4 linked regions of the Oryzias latipes genome follow. The protein of the gene in region 3 binds, or shares a complex with, the protein of the main gene of each other region. Links are inferred from orthologs where the notes say so. Each region holds a gene or a part of one and is shown on either strand. Other genes may lie near its edges.

Region 1 (5,745 bases), on a different chromosome or scaffold from region 3:
AAAAGTAAATTATCAGCAAAGATGAATGTGTTTAATGTGTTTATTAATGTTCCAATCACGCACCATATGCACAACTTAAAAGAAAAAAGAAAACCGTGCGGTGATGCGGTTGTCGTCACACCCCTATAACACCGTCTAACTTTAGAAAAGTTTCATCCACCCCGTTCTGTTCAACGAAAAAGAGGCTAAGGGGGGCGGCTCCTTGCCATGCATGTCTCCACAATGAGATGAATTCACGACTGTCTGCGAGCGAAACATGGGCAAACCTGTACGGGGCACATAGGTGGCCTGCAAGAAACAACAAGGTCGTAGAATGCTCTGAGCAAGAATGTTCATGCACAGTTTTTTCACGGACACGCTGCGAATGACAAATCGGAGTGAACGCTTAAACAATGTGTGTGCGCTCCTTGCGTGCAGCCTGACTAACGTCCTACAGGCAATTCCACATCGCAGGTGTGCAGCATTTGAGTCAGTGTGCACAACCTGCTAATGAATAGAGTGTGGTGTAAGCCAGTCATACGTCACTATCCTTAGAAATACTTCACAAATACAAACTTACCAAACGCATGACAACTGTACATTGCATTTTTAGTGACGTTCCATTAGGTACGAGACTGAAGGGAAACTAAAAGACACATCTGCTCCCCTCAAGGTGCAGCTGATTGTCTCTACGACCCTCCACAGCCCCGAACAAACCAAAAACCAGCATATGACTAAGGATTAACCAAAAAATTCCAGTTTGCAGCCTTCATTTTGCCCTCATCGTGTTTTTTTAACAATGCAAATCACATTTTGCTGATGTAATTTCCCTGGTGTCTTCTGCATTTGCCGCGAAAAAAACTTCAATAGTGTGAATAGGTAACAATAACTAAATGTATACACCAAAGAAAAAGTCAACCTGATTTATATTACTGTAGAATACAAATATGATTTTCAAAAACTCATTTTTGGAAGAATAAAACCACCATTCAAGAGTTTCACTCACGGTTCTGAAACTGCTGTGCAGTGTATCTGGTTAGCAGGATCCCAAAACCCTCGATGAGAGCGAGCAATATTCCTCCCATCATGGCAGAGCCCACCATGGTCAACGGTCCGCCTGAGGAAAGACACCCTGTCCGCTCAATTCCACCAAACACTACGACCCGCTGAGAGTGTGCGGCCCAGACTCGCTCTTACTGCGTGCTGCTAGAACGGCTCCGGTCAGGGCCCCGCTGGTGATGGAGTTCCACGGGTCTTCTTTCCCTCTCAGACGGACCAGACCACAGTCGATCGTGGAGAAGAGCCCCCCCCACACTGCAAAGCTGCCTGCAAAAATGTTCAGGGGAGTGTGAAAAACAAAAACAAGAAGAGAACAGCTCTTATGGCATCTAGGTATAATTTTTCCAATAAAGAGATGAACAGCAAATGACATTGTGGTGAAGCCAGGAAACCTTTTGTTATTAATAAGAGCAAAATCTCCTCACCTCCAATCTGCGGCGCTCTTATTCTCACTGCATTGGCGCTTCCTTTTAGCCTGTGTGCAACACCCTGAAAGGTCAGACTGCTGTTAATTATTATCCTCACAAAACAGGCGCATCAGAGCCAACAGACTTGTGGTTTTAACTCACGGCGGGGGCGTTTCGAAACCCCTTGACTGCTTGGAACACCCCTCCACCAATTGCACCCATAGTAAACGCCCCCCCACAGTCATCCACAATCCTCCAGGGGCTGCAGGAAAGAAGTCAGATCATGAAAAATTACGGACACAGAGGAAAAAAATTGCAGATTGACTCATCAGGATCTGAATGAACCAAAATTAGGCCAAGAAGTTAAAGGTGTAGAACTGAAACAAATAACCTTTTTATTAATTTCTTAGGAAAGCTATCAACGATCCGGCATACTTTCCAGCTTCCACAAGAATTCATCTTTGGATTATATTAACTCCAAATCCCAATTTTAGCTGCAGTATATTATTAAACGACAGATGCAGACATTATTTAAGGTCACACTGAACCTGCATTTTCTTTAACAGCTTTAAAACACTTGTTTAAATAATTAGTCATTGGATTAAGACAGCAAAACAGCAACATATTATTGTTCTTTCTGGTGGCTTACTGCTGCAGGAGGCTCAAATGTTCAAAACAAACAAAGATCTAAATGAGAAGACACAGGCTTTTTCATGCTAACTCTTCTATTTATTCTACTTTGTCACGAGTCAAATGATAAATTAAAGGATTTTCCTCTGATTCTTTTGTCTTATAAACTTAGGGGGTTCTCTCCATTCAGATTTACTCTCTAAAGGCAAAATAATGGATCACAGATCCACAGTGTTTTCTTCTGACACAAGGGGAGTGAATTCTGACTTCCTTTAAGTTCAAAACTAGGAATAACCACAAAGCAGGAACAGATCAGAGAGAAACTGATTAGATCAGAACAGAGAAGAGCCAGAGGTGGCAGAGCTTGTAGCTGCGAGGGGGAAAAAAGGAGGCAGAAGGGAGCGGCGTGGGGCAGCAAGCAGACGGAGCGGCGTGGGGCAGCAAGCAGACGGAGCAGGAGCAGACCAAAAAGAGAAACAAATGATTCTGTCTCCATGTTTTTACTCTGATTGGTTTGTGTGTCTTCCTTTTGTAGACGGTGGGGGATCTTTCTGTTAATCCCTCCAAAAACTCTGAACTCAGAAGTAAATGGGTTAACCATAACAACTATCTAATATCTATAATCAGTTAAATTCAGAAGTGTTATTATCAATCTGGATTATCAATGACTCAATGACAAGCATGTCAGCATTTTGATGAGTTGGGGCAGCTTTAGAGGAGATCTGTGTGCCTGAAGCCCTAGAAGTGTCGACTTTACTGAATTCTAATAAACAATCATCCATCTATGAAATAGTAGACAATGTTAATGATTATTCTTTAAAATGTCTGAAAGTTGTTGAGAGATTTAAACTGCATTTAGGATTTATAGAATAAATGTAACTGTGATCTTAATTGCTATTAAATACCATTATATTCTGTGATATATAAAACATCCATTTCTGCACAAGGATATAAATTGGATGTTTCGGCTTGAAAAACAATAAACAAGCTTACTACCAATTAATTAAAAATGTCACAAAATATGTAACATTTGTTCGCAATATGTTTTAAGCTAATTTAAAGCACTAACAGTAAATGTTGTCGTTTTTCCATAAATTGTAGAAATAATATATTTTATAACCTGCGAAATGTTAGAATTCTAGTTGAAATTAGATTACTTCTCGGTGGTGGACGCGAAACTATTCAACCTGGTCAGGTTTCGTTCAACAAGAGGGCAAAATTGCATAAAAGCCAAAGGACAAACTAATATGTTTAGGTTTTATTCGACAAAAAAAGATAATCTCACCAAGGTTCACGCGCAAACTCCTCCATCTTTCGTGTCGTCTTTTAAGCGCAGTGACGTCATAATCAGGCGCCGGCTCATCGTTCGTTGTGGTGGTCTGTTGATTTTAACGATTGAAATAGTCGTTTTTAAGAACAGGTACAGACTTTCCCCCCTCTTTGTTATTTATATAAACGCTTACTTGGTTAATTGAGTTTCTTATTATAGTTAGGAACTTCAAAATGACGGGATTTTGATTTATTTTAACCGCAGCTGTGAGTTGAGTTCAGAAAAACGGGCCTGGATCATGTTTTCGTGCAGATTATTTTAGCTCTTGAAATATTGTTTCTTTGCTAATTATCGATATTTTAAAACTGACTGAGCTACACTAACCTCAATATTTAAAAGACAAAAAAAACTTAACGTTTGAGAGTTTTAATCAATCGCTCCATAGTAGAACCAGAACCATCGAAATAACTTTCAGAAAAGTCCTGTTTCATTTTTTGAGCTGCTTTGAAATTGAGACAGTTTTGTGTGTGTGTGTGTGCGCGCGCGTGCGTGCGTGTTTAAATTTCGCACCTTATCATAAAATTTTCCTCCAGAGAATTTGTTTAGAAACAGTGAAGAATGGATTTGTTTGCTTCAAATACCTTATCTATACAGGTGCTCTGAATGTACACATCTGTACATCTGGATTTGGTCATAGAACATGTTTAATTTCAGAATTTGGGGTAATGGGTGTCTCTTATGTTGTTGCTTTTATGGGTTAGTTTGAAACGAAACAGTTCTGCCAAATTAAAGCCAAATCAGTTATTTAATTAATTGATTTTTCTATAAAAGTAATATTTTGTATTTGTCAGGTTAAATAAAACATTTTCTTTGCTTTTAAAGCCAGAAGTTGAATTTTATTGATTTAAAGTTCAAGTTTTGCTTTATTTAAATCACTAGTTAGGCAAAAATGTTTGTGAACGAACATAATTAGTTTTGGAATGGAACCTTTATTTTTTTTTAAAAAGAATTTATATTTAATCAAAATTTCTGCAATCCTAACTCCTGTACACAATCGGTGAATTCGTATGTAATCAACTGAAGAATTTGTCAGCATTTGCATCATCATTTAATCCTAACTCCTCTGTGCTTGCAGATGCCTCTACCTCCAGCCCTGCTGGCCCGTTTGGCCAAGAGAGGAATAGTTAAACCTTCAGATCAAGGTAGTATTCTACATCCTCACAGAGCTTACTTTCTGCTTTTTTTCTGAGCTTAAAACGACTTTTTCTCCTCAACAAAACAGAGATAGAGGAGGAGATCATCGCTGAAGATTATGATGACAACAATGTTGACTATGAAGCCACTCGGTTAGAAAATCTTCCCCCAAATTGGTACAAAGTGTTTGACTCGACGTGGTACGTAGAAACGAAGTCGATCAGCTGCGCTGCTGTGTTTGAGTATGATCACTGCGTGTCATTGATCTACCATTGAAATGAAAAGCAATTGCAGCTAAAGTTATTTGTTTTCTTCATTTCCCAGCGGTCTTCCTTATTACTGGAACATTGAGTCCGATCTGGTTTCCTGGCTTTCCCCAAATGATCCGTCAGCGGTTATAATGAAAGCTGCCAAAAAAGCAAAAGGTAAGAATTTGGTAAAGTAGATGACTTTGCTCTGCTTTCATTAAAAATTGTTTTACAGAGTTCATAAAATGTCCAAAATATTGGATTTTTACTTTTTGACAAGGGTATGAGGAAACAAAAAAAGAACATGAAGAGCATGAATGTGTAATAAACTCTCATATAGCTAAAGTTTATCCATCTTTATATTCAAACTTTGTTTGTCATGCTACTCAGATAATGATTGTTTTCTAAAACCTCAAAGATGTGGATTTCCTTTTGATTTTTATATTATTTTTATATTATATATATTATATTTACCGTAAATTCCGGGTTATAAAGCGCACCCGATCACAAGCCGCACCCACCTATTTTAACGTGCTTAAATATTTTTGTACATACACAAGCTGCATCAGTATACAAGCCGCTGCCTCAACAAAGCGCATCCTGACTACCAGAGTGTGCATGGCTCATTACCACACTGTGGGCAGGTACTGGCCTTGTCTCAAGCTCATGTATCTAATTACACCCACATCTGAAACGGCATGGACCTCTATTCTGTTCACAAGTTCCTCAGTTATGGGTTTTTTTATTTTTTTTAACTTATTGACAAACTAGGTATCATACATAAAATTACAAACAGTAACCATATAATCAACATTACATCCCTCAGTTATGATGAGGAAATTTATATCCGCGATCCCCCATTTCCCATGAGTCTTAGGGGCTAAAGGCGGGGCCAACGCCCGGCTCGCCACACTGTTGTTCGTGTTTAAGAATGAGCAAGGAGCAGCAGTGCATGGAG
Region 2 (5,762 bases), on a different chromosome or scaffold from region 3:
TCCAAATAAAGCTGCAGGCTGCACTTGTGCAGCATCAGCTAACTGAAAAGCACACAACAAAATCGATGATAAGAAAAATTATCGACGATAAGAAAAATTGTTCCACAATAGTTTACTAGGAGCTGTACAGATCTTCTGGATAAAACCAATGTCTTAATTACTTTAAGTTTCTAAAAATGTAAGAAGTCCCTGGAGGTCACATAGTAGTACCGTTAGCGAGAGAATTAGATAAGTTCTGTCCTCACAGAACCCAAAAGTGGAGCTCTGATCAGACAAAAGCCTTTGCAAACAGTAGTGCACACACATCTCACAATTTAAACATCTTAAAAAAGCCGCTGAGAGAAGCCAAAAAAGGAAATTCAAAAGAAACGCAAAGTGGAATGTAACTTTTACAGACCGTTTAAAATAGACGGTCTCTTTCTTGCATTATGTGATGACAGATGGGCCACATATGCTTCTAGAAAACATTTACTAAAGTTTAATAGTTTATTAGATGTAATGCCAGTTTTTTTAAAAATACGTTTCTGTGTGGATTTAGCCACAGTCTACATACAGCACAGAGGACCTCCACCAGTACGTTCCTGTTCATGTGCAAACATGGAATTTCACCAAAGTAAAATGATTCTGGTGTGTCTGACCACCTAGATAGCATTCAATGATTTGAATTGGTGCCAATGTTATATAGTTACTGAAATTCTGTATCACTACATGAGCTCCAAGTTAGATCAAGGCAAAATTTCACCTGAAGTTCTGTCTATTTTCAAAAGGGGAAATTTGTACTTACTTCTTGCAGCGAGAATAGCACCAGTCATGGCACCACTTGTTATTGAATTCCAGGGGTCTTCTTTCCCTCTTACTTTTACTAAACCACAGTCAATCATGGAAAAAAGGCCTCCCCACACCGCAAAGCTACCTGCAACACACACCCACAAATAATTACCAACTAGTAACCATCAGTCATCTTTTTTGACAGTATAGCAGAAAATGTTATAAACCCGTTTATGAATATAACCTTGCAAAAAAAAAAAAGACAACCAAAAGTTTAAACACAGTAATGGTTAACAAGCAACGTAAACCAATGAAGATTTGACCTTTTGGTGAAGTTGACATGACTCAAGGGTATTGTTGTTTACATGGTAAACAACCTGCTACCAGAACAGCAGAATAACCCCATCAAAGTCCCACTCCGATCATTTCTTGATCTATTGTAAAAGTGTCCCCAGTGGACTTTTTACTTATAATTATGCAGATTTGAGCAAAAAAAATAAAAGAACATGTCATTTTCTAGGACATAATTTTTGCAGAACAGCAGGAGTTCATTAAAAATTCACCTCCAAGTTCTGCTGGCAGAGTAAGTCCATCCCCACATCCCATCATCCATCCATTTATAGGCTTTCCTGCTAGCTTACAGTCCCTCACAACCCCAACCTAAAATTACCGCTGCAACTAAAATGGCAAGCAATATTGGAGTTTTCCAGCCGTACAGTTTTGAGCCAGATGCCTTTAATCACACCTACAAGCTTTTTCCAACAACATTTTTGCGTCTGCGCCTGATTCACAAAGATTTCGATGTAGAAATACTCAAAATAGAATTTTGAGCCTAATTTTCTTTATATATCCTCCATCTTGGAGAAAGAAGAAAAGAAAAAAAAACACAACACGCATTGTTGTTGTCGATAGCTTAGCTTTTGTTCTATTGGCACTACGCAGGAGGAAAGACAATCACCTGACCGGACCGGGATCGCTCAGTGGAAATGAGACATAAGTGTCGGCACATGTGGAATTTTTTTTGTCTTACCTCCCAGTTGCGGGGCTCTGGTCTTAATGGCAGTTAAACTACCCCTCATCCTGTGGCTCATTCCCTACAAAAAAGACCAGCACAAACAGATTTAAAAAGTGTGAAGAGCAGATAAACACTATAACACCCATCTCGCTGGAAAATATTTAAAGCTTCCTTGAGCGAGTCATTGAACCAGAAGGCCAAGGCTTTCAAAACACTGGCTCTGCCACTACAGGTAGGAGAAAGATAATCACAGCAAACCCATGTGACGGCACACACGTACAGTTCAAATGTCCAAACTGAACTTACCGAGGGTGCGTTTCTGAAGCCCTTTACCGCCTGGAATATCCCTCCTCCAATAGCTCCCATGGTGAATGCTCCACCACAGTCATCCACAATCCTCCAGGGGCTAAAAAACAAAAAACACAGACAAAGCTTAACCTCATGCTGTACTCATGGAGTGCCAGACAACAGACTACAGAACCTAATACGAGTATTTTTAAAATAAACAGCAGGTATTTGTTCGTTAATGAGTTCCAAATATATGGGGGGGGGGGGGGGGGGGGACAAAAACGAATAAATGCATCAAACTTGAGAGAAAAACAAGTCCACAGTAGACATCAATAATTTAGACTTTTTTATTGTCATAACTGGTTAAGAACTAAATGAAACAACTTAAAACTTGAATTGATTTAATTCTGTCTGTGTGTTGGGGTTGGGGAGTGCATCTGCATGCCAGTAAGCTAGCCCAAGATTTACAACGTCTAATTCTAGGAACTTTAGACATTGTTTCATGCATGGACCAAATACCTCAACACCCAGGTCTTAATACCACTGAGACCTTCAGGATGTGCTACAGGAGACTTCATTACAGTCATGCCTATTATCCAAAATGAAACATATTGCAGACCATTAAAACAATGCCAAGAGGAAATAACATGCTATATGTAGAGGACACAGTGCAACTGTGTGTTAAAGAAAAGCTCAAAACCGTCCAAAAAGATATATTTTGTGGAAATCAAGCAAAATTGCATCAAGTTCCATTGTTTTGTCACATCCTAGTTAAATGAGGTGGGAAAAAGACAACTGGTCATGGATCAGCCAAAATATAACAACTTAGTGTCACACTAATGGCAGTAAGGCCTAAGATGGGTTTTTACAGTCCACCTATAGTTAACACAATTTTACGTAGATATGATGGTTTTTTTTAAGTTGATTACAGGATGTCGAAACAAGTGTTTGGGGAATCTAGTAAAACCGATCACTCACAGGTTCGGGTTGACAGCAGTCAGAGTTACAACAACACGGGTCTCATAACAAGTTATACAAATTTTCTCTGAACAACAATGGTGATGTTGGCTTTTTGGTACTTGATGCAATCCGTGTTCTATTTAGTGCAAAGTCAACTACTGTTTTCAGTGAAGTCAGTAGAGTTACATGTGGACGAAATAGCCGACAAGGTCACCAACGTGATTTCACGACCATGCCGGTATGTCGTTAGCGTCAAGCTACCCATAGATTTCAAGGGAGAAATTAGCATTTCGGCTAACACCACTAACTAGCATGCAAGGTTAAGGACTGATAAAGTCATTACAACTGGTGATCAGAATAGGTACTCAAAGTTAAGGAACAAACATGTCTTGTTTTTTAACCAGACAATTAAGGTGATTTAAAAATAAATAAATAAATAAAAAACTCACCACGGCTCTCTCGCATATTCCTCCATTTTGTTCTTTCACCGTGTTCCCCTGAGCGTCCTGACGTAACCTCTTCTTCTTGACGTCACAGAACGTAAACCAATAGTTGAAAGTAATGAGTACCGCCATCTATCGAGCAGACGTGTGGTTGCAGTTTTCTGTATACATTTTTTCCGCTTTTTTTGGTTATTTATAATTCCAGGGAAATAGAAGACAAAAATAAATAACTTACAAAATCTCCAGTTAATCTGTCACTCGTGGACAAACAAATGCCTCACTATTTTTAAGTAAATACTTCTTAATATAAAATGTTTACGTAGTTAAAAATTATAAAAATTTGATAATATGTGTTTGCTTTTGTTTTTTAATAAAAATCTATACTTAATTTTTCACATAATTTATTTATATTAGCTGATCTATTAGCCAATCCTTGGGTGGTTGATGTGGTTTGTGACAATGCTAACATTTATAAATGTGACTGCAGACAGAGTATGAATGATTGTAGAAATTAGTCACAACATCAGAAACATCACAGGTTGGATTTAAAACATGAAGAAGAAGAAAACACTTTGCTGGTGGGAGTAGGATCCTTTCTGAAAATACTCACCAACCCTAACCCTATACATCAAGTGTCCGGGTGTACTCTGTGAGAGCTCAACTACTGAAATGTCAGCTACTTAAAGGCTTTGGAATTGTTTGCCAAAACAAAAAAACAGCCACATGTAGTTCAGAGCAACCAAAAGCTAAACTAAAATAATACACCCAAGATCACACATTGAAAAGCATTTGATTCTTTCAAAGATTAAAACCTTTTCAGACATTCAAGATATTTTACCAGGTTTTAAGTTGTTTGAACTTATTTTTGCTATACACATTCTCAGGAAGAGCAGAGATACAGAAATAAAGAAATAAGTATTAAAATGAATCCAAACTCTTTTGCTCCCTACTCTCGACAAGAGAAAAAACTTGTTTCAAGACTCAAAAAATCTCTAATTACAGTGTCATTTTTGGCTCAATTTTAAAGATTTTATTTTAGAGTTCAATAAATGTTAGACTGGCATTCAGTGTCCTTGTTTTGGAAACTGAGAATTTGATTTACATTCAAACAATTAGAGCTAAATTTTATGAGGATTTGTTCTAAAATGAGTCATTTCTACTTTTTAACTATTTTTTGTCACTGTAATCAAAATGAAATAGAATTAGGTTTATAAAAACTGAAAAAATTAAATCCATTTGCTTAGAACTAGCAAAAAATACTTATTATCGGACCGTACGATATTATTATAAGTTACTCTCTCGAAGTATGCTTATTTTTCTCTTTTTGAATGCTTATGTGGAACAGCTTGTTTCTAGATTTTAACATCTTATAAGTATAAATTACTTGCTGGAGACAATTTTACTAGTTTTTAGTGGTTTTCTTCTCAAGAATAGTGCTCTTTCTGTCTTTTTAGGCTACTTATTTTTGCAGTGCATGAAACTTAATCACTGAAAAGCATCATCTGGGTTCTTTTCCTCCTTTAAATGATATTTTTTACAAAACAGCTTCGATTCTTTTTTCCTCTTTTTTCCCCCCTGGTAAATACCACTGGTGGTCGGGGAGCTGCAGCAGTGCAGAGAGACGGCTGGCATGAAGCCCATTATTAGAAATAGGAAAGGAATGACTTGCAGAGTGAGCTTTCATTGAGAAATGACCAAATATGGGCATTTCATGTGTAAGGACTGAGTTTGGAGACACAACCTGGCCTGCAGCCAGTGCAGCTCCCCTCTCCTCTGTTTCAGGATGACGGCTACCTCGCATGTAGAAACCAACCGTTTCCAAACCGCTTGTGATTTGTTGTCAGCAACAGAAAGAATGCTGCTGTGGATTCAAAGGAGTGGGTCATTTGTACCCAGTGACTGCATCACGTTCTTAATCCAGAAAGGAGGATGATGAATACTTTAAAAATCGAATCTTCTTTTCAAAAAACAGAAATAACTAACTGTAGTCATCTGGTTAAAAAACTCAAAAATGCTTCACAAGAAAGTAAGAGATTCAAGCTTTCCAGCTTAATATTGTCTAAGCCGGTCTCAGGACAGGCTGGGATGCTTGGAGAAACAGAACTCCTCGATATCCAGACAGGACAGGGCGGTATTGTGTACAAAAGAGAGGCGAATGAAGCAGTTCTTGACGTGAAAACGAGCCAAACGAACGCGGACACAGGCCTTCATGCTCCTTGCAGTCACGTCAGACTCTTTTATTTTGGACAATCTGATAAACACAGGTGTGATAAGGCAGGTGTACAACC
Region 3 (5,818 bases):
CACCATGGATCACAATTTAACATTGGGTTCACGTAGAAAGCTAGAAAACGGTGTAACAACCCGTTTTTCAGCGACTCCTTAGTAGTTTGTAGTATTTCCAACAGTCCGCGAAGGCAGCACAAGCCTTCAATCTGTCAACATGGTGAGCACGGGTTAACTTGAAAAACAAATAATAATAGTTAAAATAAAGTTATTAAAACATTTTTTTAATTGAAAGTCATAATAATAATTACAAATGCTAAATTTGAAAGAGGGTGTGTTAAAAAGGAGATTCGTGTGAAAAAAAAACTCTTTTGGGGGTGTCAAAAGCTGTAGCAATGGGGACATATTTGTTAAAATTGACTAAGTAAAAAAAAAAAAAAAAAGATTTGTTAGACATTTTTCTGCAAGTTTTTATTTAAAATTCAGTGTAAATCATGTTAATAGGTTATTTAATTAAATTAGGGTTGCTACACATTTTACTAGATTTTCAAAATACTAAATTCTGCAGCTCCATCTGGTGATTCTTTTTTATTCACATTTTTACATGTAAAACAACAAAAAAGGATAAAGTAAGTTTGAATGGAGTAAAACATCCCCTACATTTAAAAGCAAAATTTGATCAAATTCATGTTTTATAGCATATTAGTTCTGTAGAATGTGATCATTTGTAAAAGCATACATTTATCTTCAAAAAAATATCTCTGTATGTTCTATTTACAAATTACTATTGTATTTTCATTAACACTGCGATAGAGAAGCTTTCTACCAAATGCTGAGAAATAATTTTATTAACCAATCCATTTCTTAAAATTTCACAATAATATATTCAGGAAAAAGCCATTTATTTAGTTCACAGACATGAAACCCTGCTTTACAAGTGCAAACGTCTTGACTTGTCCCCTGAGTGTCAGAAAAGCTCCTCATCTGTTGTCCTCCACAACAATAGTCCGTCTCGGGTAGGTATCTATTTCTACAAATACATAACGGAATTCATACTTTCCAGTTTCAAGATTCTGCAAAACAACAAGGATACCATTATCTCAACTGATCAAAAAATCCACACAAGAAACAACAGGTTTCCATTTAAATAAAGACTTACCTCTTTAGACTCTGAATGCACCGTCCCTTTCAGGCCCGGCTCCGATCCCTCAATGTAAAACTTTAGTCTCATGTGCTTAAGTCCATCCTTTACATACTCCACGTGACTGAAGTGGAAATATGAGAATAAGGAATAAAAAAACTCCAACAATAACATATATATGTAATAACCTTAACATTTTGTAACTCCATTCTTCCAGAGCTCCAGATTCTCAGATGCTTACAATAAATCAGCACGAATACCACGTTAGCTCTTCAAAAGACAATAAAAACTTTTATGTTTCATAGCTGTGGGGTCTGAAACTAAATTCTCCTTCATGACAAGTTTTGCATAAACGTTGAAGGAAATTCAATGCTGCTGAAAATATGATTTATAGCTGATGTTCACAGGTTGTGATTCTGAAAGGAAGTCCTTCAAATCCTGCAAAAGCATTTCCTCTAAAACTAAAGGCAGCTGCTTGTTATGCCAAGTTTGATCAGATTTACTGTATTCTATACCATGAATCAATGAATGCTAAAGCAACATTTTGCAAGTAAGAAAAAGTTCAATAAGATAAGATAAAGTGTCAACACACCTGACTTGCTGCCTTCTCCCTCGGCGGGTGGTCTCACCGTAACATTTAATTGGTTCTCCAAATGCCCCAATAACCTGCAATTGATTATGTATTTCTTACTTTTATTTTGGAAAAACAATGATTTCTAGCCATTTCAACAGTAAAAAAATATTGATAGGAGACGCCGTCTGGCTTGATTTTTACCTCTGGGTGCGACCTGACTTTGTCAAAGGCTCTGCTGTAGACTTTATTTGGGCTGGTAGAGGAAAACAGCTCTTGGAACACCACATATAACAGCCCCCCTGACCAACACAGCAGAAAACTGCAGCTGATTATTTAGGTTGTGTGTTCTGGGACCAAATAAATAAATATATAAACAAGCAATGTGGGATTGTTGTGTAGCCATTCCTTGGACTCGTGCAGTTCAATTCACCTGTTACTCCAAGCCCGATGAGGACCACGATCAGGTAGGTGAAGTCTCTCCCAGCATCTTTGACTGAAAGACAAACAGAGCAGAGGCTCTTGAGTGGCCAATGCATAGTGGAAGAGTTTAGATTTATAAGCAAAATTTAACCCAGAGTGAAAATATTCCAGGTTTGATATAAAAGGAAACTGTGTGTCTGTGCAGACGGGTAGCTCTATTAGACTGCGGCTATAAGAGATGACAAGAGGAGGAGGAACTCATCAACATAACGTTAGGTCTGGCCCTCTAGTATGCCCCGAGGTATTATGATGACAAGTCCTAAAGATCTTTAGTTAGTTAGTTTCTGCAGAGCAGCAGTAGTTCAATAGAAATTGACCACTGTGCTGTTGGCGTGGAGCAAGCCTGCTCCACTTCCCATCACCAACCTATTACCCGCTCCCCCTCACACCCCCAACCTAACGTTACCAGAGTTAGTAATTACTTCATTACTTTAAAAATAATGACATAAAAATAGAATAAAGGAGCAAATTCTTGGTCTGGAATATATATATTCCAATGCTGGAATAAATGCAAAATGAAATATATCCATTGATTTGATGAATTAATGCAGAATTTATCTTCAAGATTAATTTGGATTTTCTTTTCTTTTTTCAATAAACCTTGTTCAATTGGATTTGGCATTGCTTATTTCAAGCAACCAAAGCAAAAACAATGCTGAAAACTACACAATCAACATCCATACAAACTAAGATGTATCAAACATAGAATATTTAGTCATTTAATTAAAGATGGCTTGAAAGGGAGTGGAAGGAAGCAAACTTATCAAACTTAACATTTTCTTTACATGAAGTATCCGGTTCATAACTTCTAAGCGGATATTTATACCTTACCAACACAGTTTCAGGTCATTAAGAATCTTTAGGTATCAATAAATCACATGAAAAAGATGAAGTACATAAAGTGAGTGAATGAGGTATAGACTAAAGAGGGCCCAGAACAGAAACCTGAGGAACACCACAGGAAAGGGAGTAGGAGTTATTACTTGCCAAGAAACTTTGAAAGCAGCTTTGGTTGTAAGAAAACAAAATGGGCGGTCCTAAAACAAGATTTTTAGTTTTTTCTAAATAAAATAGTAGCTTTAAACCCCATTTAAAGAGACAAGACAGTAAATATGCGTTTAGTTGCACAAATCTGAAATGGGCATACCTTTCTGAGCAGAGGACACTTTAGGACTCTGGTAGGCAGAAACAGACCTGTGCTTCTCCTCCTTGTTTCTGAGGATAACGTGAACAGAAAAGCGTCTTCGTGTTTGACAGAGACAGCTCAGGGCGGACACAGGAGCCTCTGACCCACGGACGGACAGGCCGGGGATGACCGCTCCTGCTCTGCGTGTGAACAACAGCACGCCAGCCTGCTGCACGGGGAGAAATGTTTTCCCGGAGCTCCGCACACTTTGTTGCACGGCTTTTAAAATGTGCGTGAAAGACATTATTTTATCCGACGGACAATATCTGAAAAAAAGAAAAGAAAACAGCAGCTCATCTACTGAAAATAAGAATCAAATAACAGCGGTCTTTCATGGTAACATGGAATTGCAATGCTGGAAACCGCCATTCAGACCTCTGATTCACTGACCTGCTGGGTCGATCAGACGTCGAGGATTTTCTAAAGATGGCTACTGCCCCCTTCTGTCCCGGATGTCAAACTGCAGCCTTATTTGTGGTCTGGGGCTTTTTTGACCTTACGTCGTATTTCGCTTTATTGATTTATCTTCAAATCGGTTTTTGCGGCAATGCTTGATTTCCATCCTCTTTTTAAAAACCCACACTTCGTTTTACTGATTTTGTTTTCATTATACTGCACAATAACTCCACAATGAAGTTGAAACTGTCCAAAAAAGTCAATTCTGAGTGATAAATGTGGTCTTTTTTCTGCTAAAGATTCAAGATTCAAGAATTCTTGAAAAAAGACCACATTTTTTAGCAGAAAAAATGTGGTCTTTTTTCTGCTAAAACAATGATTAAAAAATTGAGATCAAACAGTTTTTATGTTTTATAACAAAGGTAAAACGTGTTGAGACAAAACAAAGTTATAAATCCAAAAAAACAAAACATGCAACAATTTAGACATACTTAATTAGAAGCAGAGTTTTTTCAACATAAAAATAATTCACTTAAGGTTTCAAACTTATTGACTTGGTACTTAGGATTATGTAAATACTTTAAATAGACCCTTAATTAATACAAGTTTTTTTTTTAATTACAGGTATAATTTATTTTAAAAGGATCCTTTCATGTTGATAAAAAATGAAAGGAAAACAAATTACTGCTCACTACAGCATTACTGGCTAAGGACTTAAATGCACAGCAGACATGAATATGTATTTGCTGAATGGCTGTTTGAGTCAGCACTCCCACAAATTTCAGAAACATCTGATAAATGCATATATTTTCTTTCCTATTTCAATTAAAGTTGCACTTTCCTGAAAGCAAATCCACATGATTGAGATTTTATAACAATGTTATTTAGTGTCTTTGTGATTATCAATTACATTTTTGGGGCTGCTTGAAGTTGATTTATTCCGAAACAATATTCCTGTCTGTTTTTATTCAAATTTTTGTTCAAAATAAGTTTAAAATGTTTGAAAACGTATCTTTAATGTGTTCACTAAATGTTTATCCTGTTCGGCCCACAACCTGGACCCCTGTGCAATTGAGTTTGACACCCTTGTAATACGAGTATATAAAATTCTTACATTTGTGTTGATTTTTGTGTTAATTAAAAATAGGGAACACAAAACGATGTGGTCAATGTGGGTGTGGGGGGGGTTGTAAGTCAGTGTAGAACTGCCACTGAACAAAATATTTCCATTGTCACACCAGCTTCCTTCTTCCTCAGGGGATTGGTCAAATACAAAACTGGTCAATTTGTAATATAATCTATAATAAAGCAAGAATAAATAAATAACAAACACAGATTTTGTTTTAATTTTCTGGCTACTCTTGTTGGGGATCACCACAAAATCCTCCCACGTCGTTTGGCTTCAGTTTTACAGCGGATGGCGTCTTGGACTCAACCCTCTGCCTTTACCCAGACTCGGGACGGGTTTGTGGAAATGCTGAAGAGTGGCCCCATGTTGTCGCATTTGAAACTCAAATAAGAGAAAAACGTTGCCACACAATAAAAGCGGTAAATATTAGTTTATTTAAAAGATTCAGTCCAGCATTTTCCCAATATGTTATCAAATAAATGTCCAAACTGAGTTTTAAAAAATCCTCTGCATCACAAACATTCAGAATAAACTGTTAGTAAAATGCAAAAAAAATAAATAATAAACTAAAAATTAGTTGATCCAATAATTAAAAGCTGTAACATTACCTTTAACTTTTCTAATGACCAGTTTATATAAAACAACACAAGTTTCTATCGTGAAGACATCACGTCAACATAAAAAAATAAAAGCTTTTGTATTTTGACAGATACTTAAAAACAGTTTTCAAACCTGTAAAGATTTTTTTAAGTCTCTTCAAACAAATTTACATTAAAGGTACTGTGTTCTCCCCCAAAAAAGTTAAATTTTCTGAAAGTTGTCTATTTCAAATGATACTTCAAGGTTCTTCCACTCTAGAAAAATCCATATCTTCCATCCAAAGCAAATGCAAACTTTCTGCTAATTGTTTTCCCTCATCTCTGCAATCTACAAGTTACTACGGAAAAAAGTCCTTTAAAGAGGAGTGTGGGAGGGAAACCGATACGTCGC
Region 4 (5,916 bases), on a different chromosome or scaffold from region 3:
CAACACGGACAAAAAGCCCATTTTGGGGTCTCCGCAGGCAAATATTCTTCCTCTACTTCGAAACTTTTTCACCCAGACTTCCTCATTGTGTTTTTGTTTTGATGAGGCACGTGACCAGGCTGGCGAGTCATTCTCTACGGAAGCCCTGATCAGCCAAAATATGTCTCGATAGAAGGCAACTTTTTTTTTATTTTTTTTTATTGAACACAATACAAAACAACACCAGAACATTCACATAAAACTTACAAACTATGGCGAATACAAGAGAGGATACCACAATTTGAAAGGAGGCAAGAAAGAAAAAAGAACATTCTTATCAGTATGCATACATAAACCTATATACAGTCATAATCATAGAGAAATTAGGGAAAAGTATAACATAAGAAAACAACAATTTCAGAGTTGGATAGTGTTACTAAATGCAGGGGGATACAACAGATAAATAAACTGTCTCAGACACTGGGAATATCACTCAGGGGGTCAGAAATTGTTATGGCTTTAGGTGAATCGATTAATTTTATGGATTTCAAGTATAAATTGACCTCATTGTTAAAGAAGGTAAAGCTGGGGTGACATTTCTGTAATCTATTTTTGTATATTAAAAACTTGGCTAAACATAACACAGTATTGATATATACATTATTTACACTGTTGTGGCCAAAGATTATTACTTCTTTCGAAAAGAAGTCCATGATGAATGGGAATTTATTTTTTAACCATTTGTAAATATCCAACCAGAACATTTGAACAACATCACACAGGAAAAGGATGTGGCCGATGTCTTCAACAGCAGTTTGGCAGAAGGAACAGCTGTTGTCATCAATGTTGAAACGTAATCTAAGTAATTCTTTGGAGGGATAAATATCATTCATAATTTTGAAGTGTGTTTCTTTAACTTTTGGGAGAATAGGAAGTTTCATGAAATCGGTTCTTAATTTGGTAACAACATTTTGTTCAAATTTCTGCAGTATATTGTTTTTTGTTCTCTCGTCCAGGAAATAATCTTTCAATTAACCAATTTCTGATAAAAGAGTTATTACATTTTCTGTCCATAAGAGGGCATGCTTCAATTGATAATGTGTCTAACTGTCGTTTTATCATTACATGTGTCATTGTGTTCCTTGTTAGAAATACTAATTCTCAAGGAAGAGAATTACGTACTTTTAAGAATTCTGAAATAGGAGGATTAAAGTTATGTCTTAAACACAATTGCTCATAATCTAATAAATTGCCCTCCGTGTCCATCAGATCAGTCACCGACCAAACACTTTGCCCAAACCATTCAGCACAAAACAAGGACTTGTTTCTATGGAGCATGTATTCATTGTTCCAAATAGTACTTAAAAATGGCGATGCACATACAATATTTTCCAGTATAGCAGAATTGTGGAACTCTGATAATGCTAGATTGAAAGATTGGTTGTGTTTGATCCACGATTTTATCTATAGGATTCCGTTACGGCAGTCAAAATTCATAACTTTGAGACCACCATCTTTAAATTCTTTGACCATATTTATTTTTCATGTAATGATGCTTGTTTCTCCAAATAAAGTTTAAAGTCATTTGGCAGATGGATTTTATCATTTTGTTTGGGATGGCATTAGAGTAAGATGGGTAAATACATCTTGACAAACACTCCATCTTTGTCAGATAGATCCGGCCCTGCATCGACATGTCTCTTTGGAGCCACATATTTAACTCTGTCTCACATTCATCCAGTTTTTCACCCACATTCCTTGATTAGCTTATTTTTTGGTCTTTGGTGATGTAGATCCCCAAGTATTTAATTTCTGATTTAATGGGCATATGATTGATTTCTTTTAAAGGTGTGTCATGAATAGTCAACAGTTCACAATTTCTTTAAATTTAAGTTTGACCCTGACGCTTTGGAAAAGTGTTTTACTTTTTCAATAGCTGCTTTGATTTGATGCTCATCTTTTAAAAACAGTGTTGTGTCATCTGCTAGCTGGCCAATAATAAGCTCTGTACCCAAGACATTTAACTTTTTGATGTCATAACAATTCGTAATATAAATGGCCAAATTTCAAGATTTCCAAGAAGACTTGATACAGTAATTTTCTGATATCTTCCCAAAAGTGTCTATAAAAGTCGCCTGTGAGCCCATCTGAACCAGGAGATTTATTAAGAGAGAGTCGATTAATGACAGCATCAAGCTCAGAGATTAAAAGTTGTTTATCGCATGTTTGTTTAAAATTGTCGTCTATTTTGGGGATGTGGGGAATCTCTTTTATAAAGTTGTCACAGTCTGCTCTTGAAAATTTAGAGCTGTAAAGGTGGCTATAAAATCTGTAAATTTCTGAGGATACAGCCTTTTCATCTGTAATTTCTATATCATTCACTAGAAGTGATTTTAGGCTCAGTTTAATAGATTAACATAATTTTACTTTCATAACCCCTAGCGTTTATCTATCAAAATTGATATACAGTGTATTGCTCTGTGTTCCTTGCTGTTTGTCATTTTTGGTTTTTAAATAAAGATTTGTCAAAAAAAATGTGACAGCGTAACCTTTTCCCCGGAAGTACAAGTTGTAAACACGGGGTGTCTTTAATGCTAGGTTACGTCCTACCAAGCTAGAAAAATGTCGAAAAATATAAGAATAGCGCTGATTTTTGGGGGTTTTATAACAACAGTCGCCGCTGCTTTATATCCTATTTTCGTCTATCCTCTGACGCACAGAGACGAGTACAGTAAGTAGCTAACAGCTTGTATTTATTTATTTTTTTAGCTCTTATACAATGTCATGTAAACGTCACAAATATTTTTATATATTTTCTAAAGATATTCTCCTAAATCAAACTAAAGGCTGTTTTGAAAAAAATATTTGAAGTACCGGTACTGAAGTATTTTTTTTTTTATTTAAACTGCTTTTGGAAGCTAGCTTCTAACTTTTAGCTAGCTAGTAGTTTAATTCCATTTGAGTATTTTGTCCTCAAAGCTGAAAATAAGCAAACTTTTAAAGTAATTTTCCTCATAGGTTCTATGTTTTTCCCCCAAACATGTTTATAATTAAAAATAATACAGTCAAAATGATGCAAATCTAAAGATGAAAACATGAATAAAAACAGCTACAGCAAAAATAGTACAACAATAGAAAACATGTTTGAAATAGAGCAGGAAGAAGCTTATTTATTAAGTCTGCCCAAGAAAAAGACAAGAAAACGACTACTAATACTGCTTCTAGTACTAGTACTACTATTAAAAATAATAATAGAAAAAGAGAAAATCAACTACTACTACTAATAATAATGTGAATAATGATGATAATGATAATAATAAATAACATAAATGAAGGAGAAAGTACAATTAAATAAAATAAAAAAAGCTATCTTTTCAGCCGCTGCTATTTAACAGTTTGCATGCACACCGATCATGATCTGATTTCAACAGTAGTCTGCTTACTGAGGTGAAAAAAGCCTGATATCTTTAATGGATTATGGCTGGTAATAGTATTTGGGCCAGATGTCTCTCCAAAAATTCTATTTCCTGCTTCAAGGATTTATGTTTGCCTGATTTATTTTAAGTTTTTCTGCATCGGATGTGGGAAAAAGGCAGTTCAAATAAACTTCTGAAACAAAAAACAACAGAAAAAGTTCATTCTTAGGCATCAAAATACACAACTAAAAAAACAAATCTGACTGTTCTTTATGAAGGTAAATATGTTCCAAAAAGAACGCACTTTTGATTTGATGTGAGATCTTGTAATATAGAATGTGAATACTTGCACAACAAAATTCTGCATCTTTGTGTAAAAATCTTTTGCTGTGAACTGAGAAATTCCCATTTGCATGTGTTCATTTAGAGTTACAACGTCAAATATGTGATTCCAACTGCTCAAATGTGCTTCTGCGTCTGCTCGAATCTGCTGGCGCAAATCACAAGTGCGCTACAACTGCGCTCTGAATTCTGACACATTCCTTGCAAGAAACTTGTGTCAAAACTGATCTGTGTCTGATAATGGAACTGGGGGAAGGGAGGGTTAGAGGAGGGGGGAGTTAACCAATCAGAGTGCAGCACTCAGAGGATTTGGTAAAGTTAGAAAGATGGTCACAGATTCGGACTTCCTGCTTGAATAACTCTTCCAGAAATCTCCATCTTTGGAGAAATCCAGATGTGTTCATGTAAGCAGCAGGATCTGAAGGTTTTAGGTCAAACTGAATCCTAACTACTTCAAGCTACTTGAGGTCACACTATAATGTCACGAATGAATCAGGTTTTCTGAAATTAGCTCTTTAAAGTAGGATTTTTTTTAACTGTTATATTATTTAAGTAATAATAATATTTATTTATTTTTTCCATGGATTTTCTGCACCTTTGCAATGTTACTATTATAAAAATACAACCCCTGTAATGATTTTCACAATCACCGGCAAATATGTTCCCTAAACTGAAGCTTTAGACTCTCCTTCCTTAATTTTTTTTAAAAACATTTGAAATCAAACATTTCTAGAAATTTTTTGAAATGGATCATAGCATGAAAATTTTCCCTAGAATAAAGAATCTAACTGAAATGCTGTGCTCCTTTTTAGGACAAACTCAGAGGATAAATCGGTCCGGAATAAACCAGGAAGATGTGCAGCCTGTGGGTAAGAAAAGGTCGCTGAATTCAAAAAAGCGGGTGAAATGATGCTTACAGGAGCTTTGACAATACTGGTAAAAAAAAAAAAAAAAAGAGAAATGTTTGGATCAACTTTCCTCACAAAAGAGGAATCTTTTTGTATATTTTGTCATTCCAAAACACTTCTTGGGTCCGTTTTTAATCAATTAAAAACAATAAACAAATGTTTTTACTTTAAGTATGGATGGCAGATTAAGTGAAATCAATTTTTGAAAAGAATCTGTGAAAGTATTTTGGTCGGATTTCTTATCCTTAACAAAAAACGCCATGAAAGCGAAACAGTTTGACATTTTTATTGGATTTGAGTCACAGAAAAGTGAAGGCAGCCCGGCTGCTCTTTTAGATCAACTTTATTTTGTCACAGGATCACTTTCTACATCCTCTGTAATCATTTGATAATTACAATAATGACTAAAATGTCCACATTTGGCCTAAACATTTTCTGAATTTTCTGAAACTCAAAATTAAAAAACACATTGTTTGGAGCTAAATTAAGAAATAAAGCACAAGTTAAAAACCATGTGCAACTGCATTTGCTGTAGTATTTTGTTTCTTTTGTAACTTTCAGTTTAATTACATTATTTCTTTAATCTCCATTTATGATTATTATCTTTTTAATAACTATTGCGGGATTTAATATCTATTAAAGCAAACGTCTGCTCTGCAAAGCACTGATTCTACAAAGAGAACAATTCATGTATCGTTTTGGGATTTTATTTTGAAGCTTATTTTGTTTTTTCAGATGTGATCTCCCAATAAAAAAAGAAATCGGTTGATTCTGTTTTGTATCGTTGTGATCATGCAGCATCCGTGGTTTTTTTTCTTCTTTTCTTCTCTGAAGGTCTAAAAGTTTGGTCTGATCCTTTCAAGCCTTCCGAGAAGTAATAAGCTCCTCCCTCCTCGCCGCCCTCCGGTGCTCCCGGACAGGAAGACCAGGGAGCCAAAAAGCTTTTCTGATAAATGTGTGAGTGTCTGTGTGTGTGTGTGTGTGTGTGCGCGTGTGCGTGGCTTATGTCATGAGTGTTTGCTGAAAACTTTTTGAACTGAATAAACTTCAAGAACTTATGAAAACGTTCATGCTTTGTTTGACATTTCTTTAAGAGATGACATTTTTTGTTTTCCTGCTATTAGTTTATAAAAGAAATCTTTTAAGGTGGAATGAGTTGTTAAGCACTTTGTGTCCACAGGGGGGCGCTGCATGCCTGCAAAGTGTTTCAGAGAGCTCCCAGCAGCTGCAGGATTTATTTTGGAAAACGGCTTCTGAAAAGTGTCACTCGG

The links.
Region 1: timm21 (region 3) and timm17b share a complex: the UniProt entries of both Homo sapiens proteins name them as parts of the TIM23 complex. The link is inferred for Oryzias latipes from reciprocal best matches to the Homo sapiens genes TIMM21 and TIMM17B.
Region 2: timm21 (region 3) and timm17a share a complex: the UniProt entries of both Homo sapiens proteins name them as parts of the TIM23 complex. The link is inferred for Oryzias latipes from reciprocal best matches to the Homo sapiens genes TIMM21 and TIMM17A.
Region 4: timm21 (region 3) and smim20 share a complex: the UniProt entries of both Homo sapiens proteins name them as parts of the MITRAC (mitochondrial translation regulation assembly intermediate of cytochrome c oxidase complex) complex. The link is inferred for Oryzias latipes from reciprocal best matches to the Homo sapiens genes TIMM21 and SMIM20.

What each region holds. Positions count from the first base shown.
Region 1 is NC_019865.2:21,320,023-21,325,767, reverse strand, and holds the start of timm17b (mitochondrial import inner membrane translocase subunit Tim17-B), read right to left. Parts: upstream 3,412-5,745; 5' UTR 3,387-3,411; coding exon 3,361-3,386; intron 1,708-3,360; coding exon 1,608-1,707; intron 1,528-1,607; coding exon 1,464-1,527; intron 1,306-1,463; coding exon 1,177-1,305; intron 1,097-1,176; coding exon 986-1,096; intron 1-985. Other genes in the region: pqbp1 (polyglutamine-binding protein 1), read left to right, coding at 4,481-4,547, 4,628-4,739, 4,864-4,964. UniProt on the Homo sapiens protein: Essential component of the TIM23 complex, a complex that mediates the translocation of transit peptide-containing proteins across the mitochondrial inner membrane.
Region 2 is NC_019863.2:11,440,748-11,446,509, reverse strand, and holds the start of timm17a (mitochondrial import inner membrane translocase subunit Tim17-A), read right to left. Parts: upstream 3,592-5,762; 5' UTR 3,507-3,591; coding exon 3,481-3,506; intron 2,190-3,480; coding exon 2,090-2,189; intron 1,863-2,089; coding exon 1,799-1,862; intron 914-1,798; coding exon 785-913; intron 1-784. UniProt on the Homo sapiens protein: Essential component of the TIM23 complex, a complex that mediates the translocation of transit peptide-containing proteins across the mitochondrial inner membrane.
Region 3 is NC_019878.2:15,517,390-15,523,207, forward strand, and holds timm21 (mitochondrial import inner membrane translocase subunit Tim21), read right to left. Parts: upstream 3,694-5,818; 5' UTR 3,679-3,693; intron 3,570-3,678; 5' UTR 3,548-3,569; coding exon 3,265-3,547; intron 2,131-3,264; coding exon 2,068-2,130; intron 1,937-2,067; coding exon 1,839-1,936; intron 1,730-1,838; coding exon 1,656-1,729; intron 1,188-1,655; coding exon 1,082-1,187; intron 996-1,081; coding exon 903-995; 3' UTR 379-902; downstream 1-378. UniProt on the Homo sapiens protein: Participates in the translocation of transit peptide-containing proteins across the mitochondrial inner membrane.
Region 4 is NC_019876.2:17,385,481-17,391,396, reverse strand, and holds smim20 (small integral membrane protein 20), read left to right. Parts: upstream 1-2,519; 5' UTR 2,520-2,601; coding exon 2,602-2,710; intron 2,711-4,549; coding exon 4,550-4,606; intron 4,607-5,479; coding exon 5,480-5,523; 3' UTR 5,524-5,713; downstream 5,714-5,916. Other genes in the region: man2b2 (epididymis-specific alpha-mannosidase), read right to left, coding at 1-21.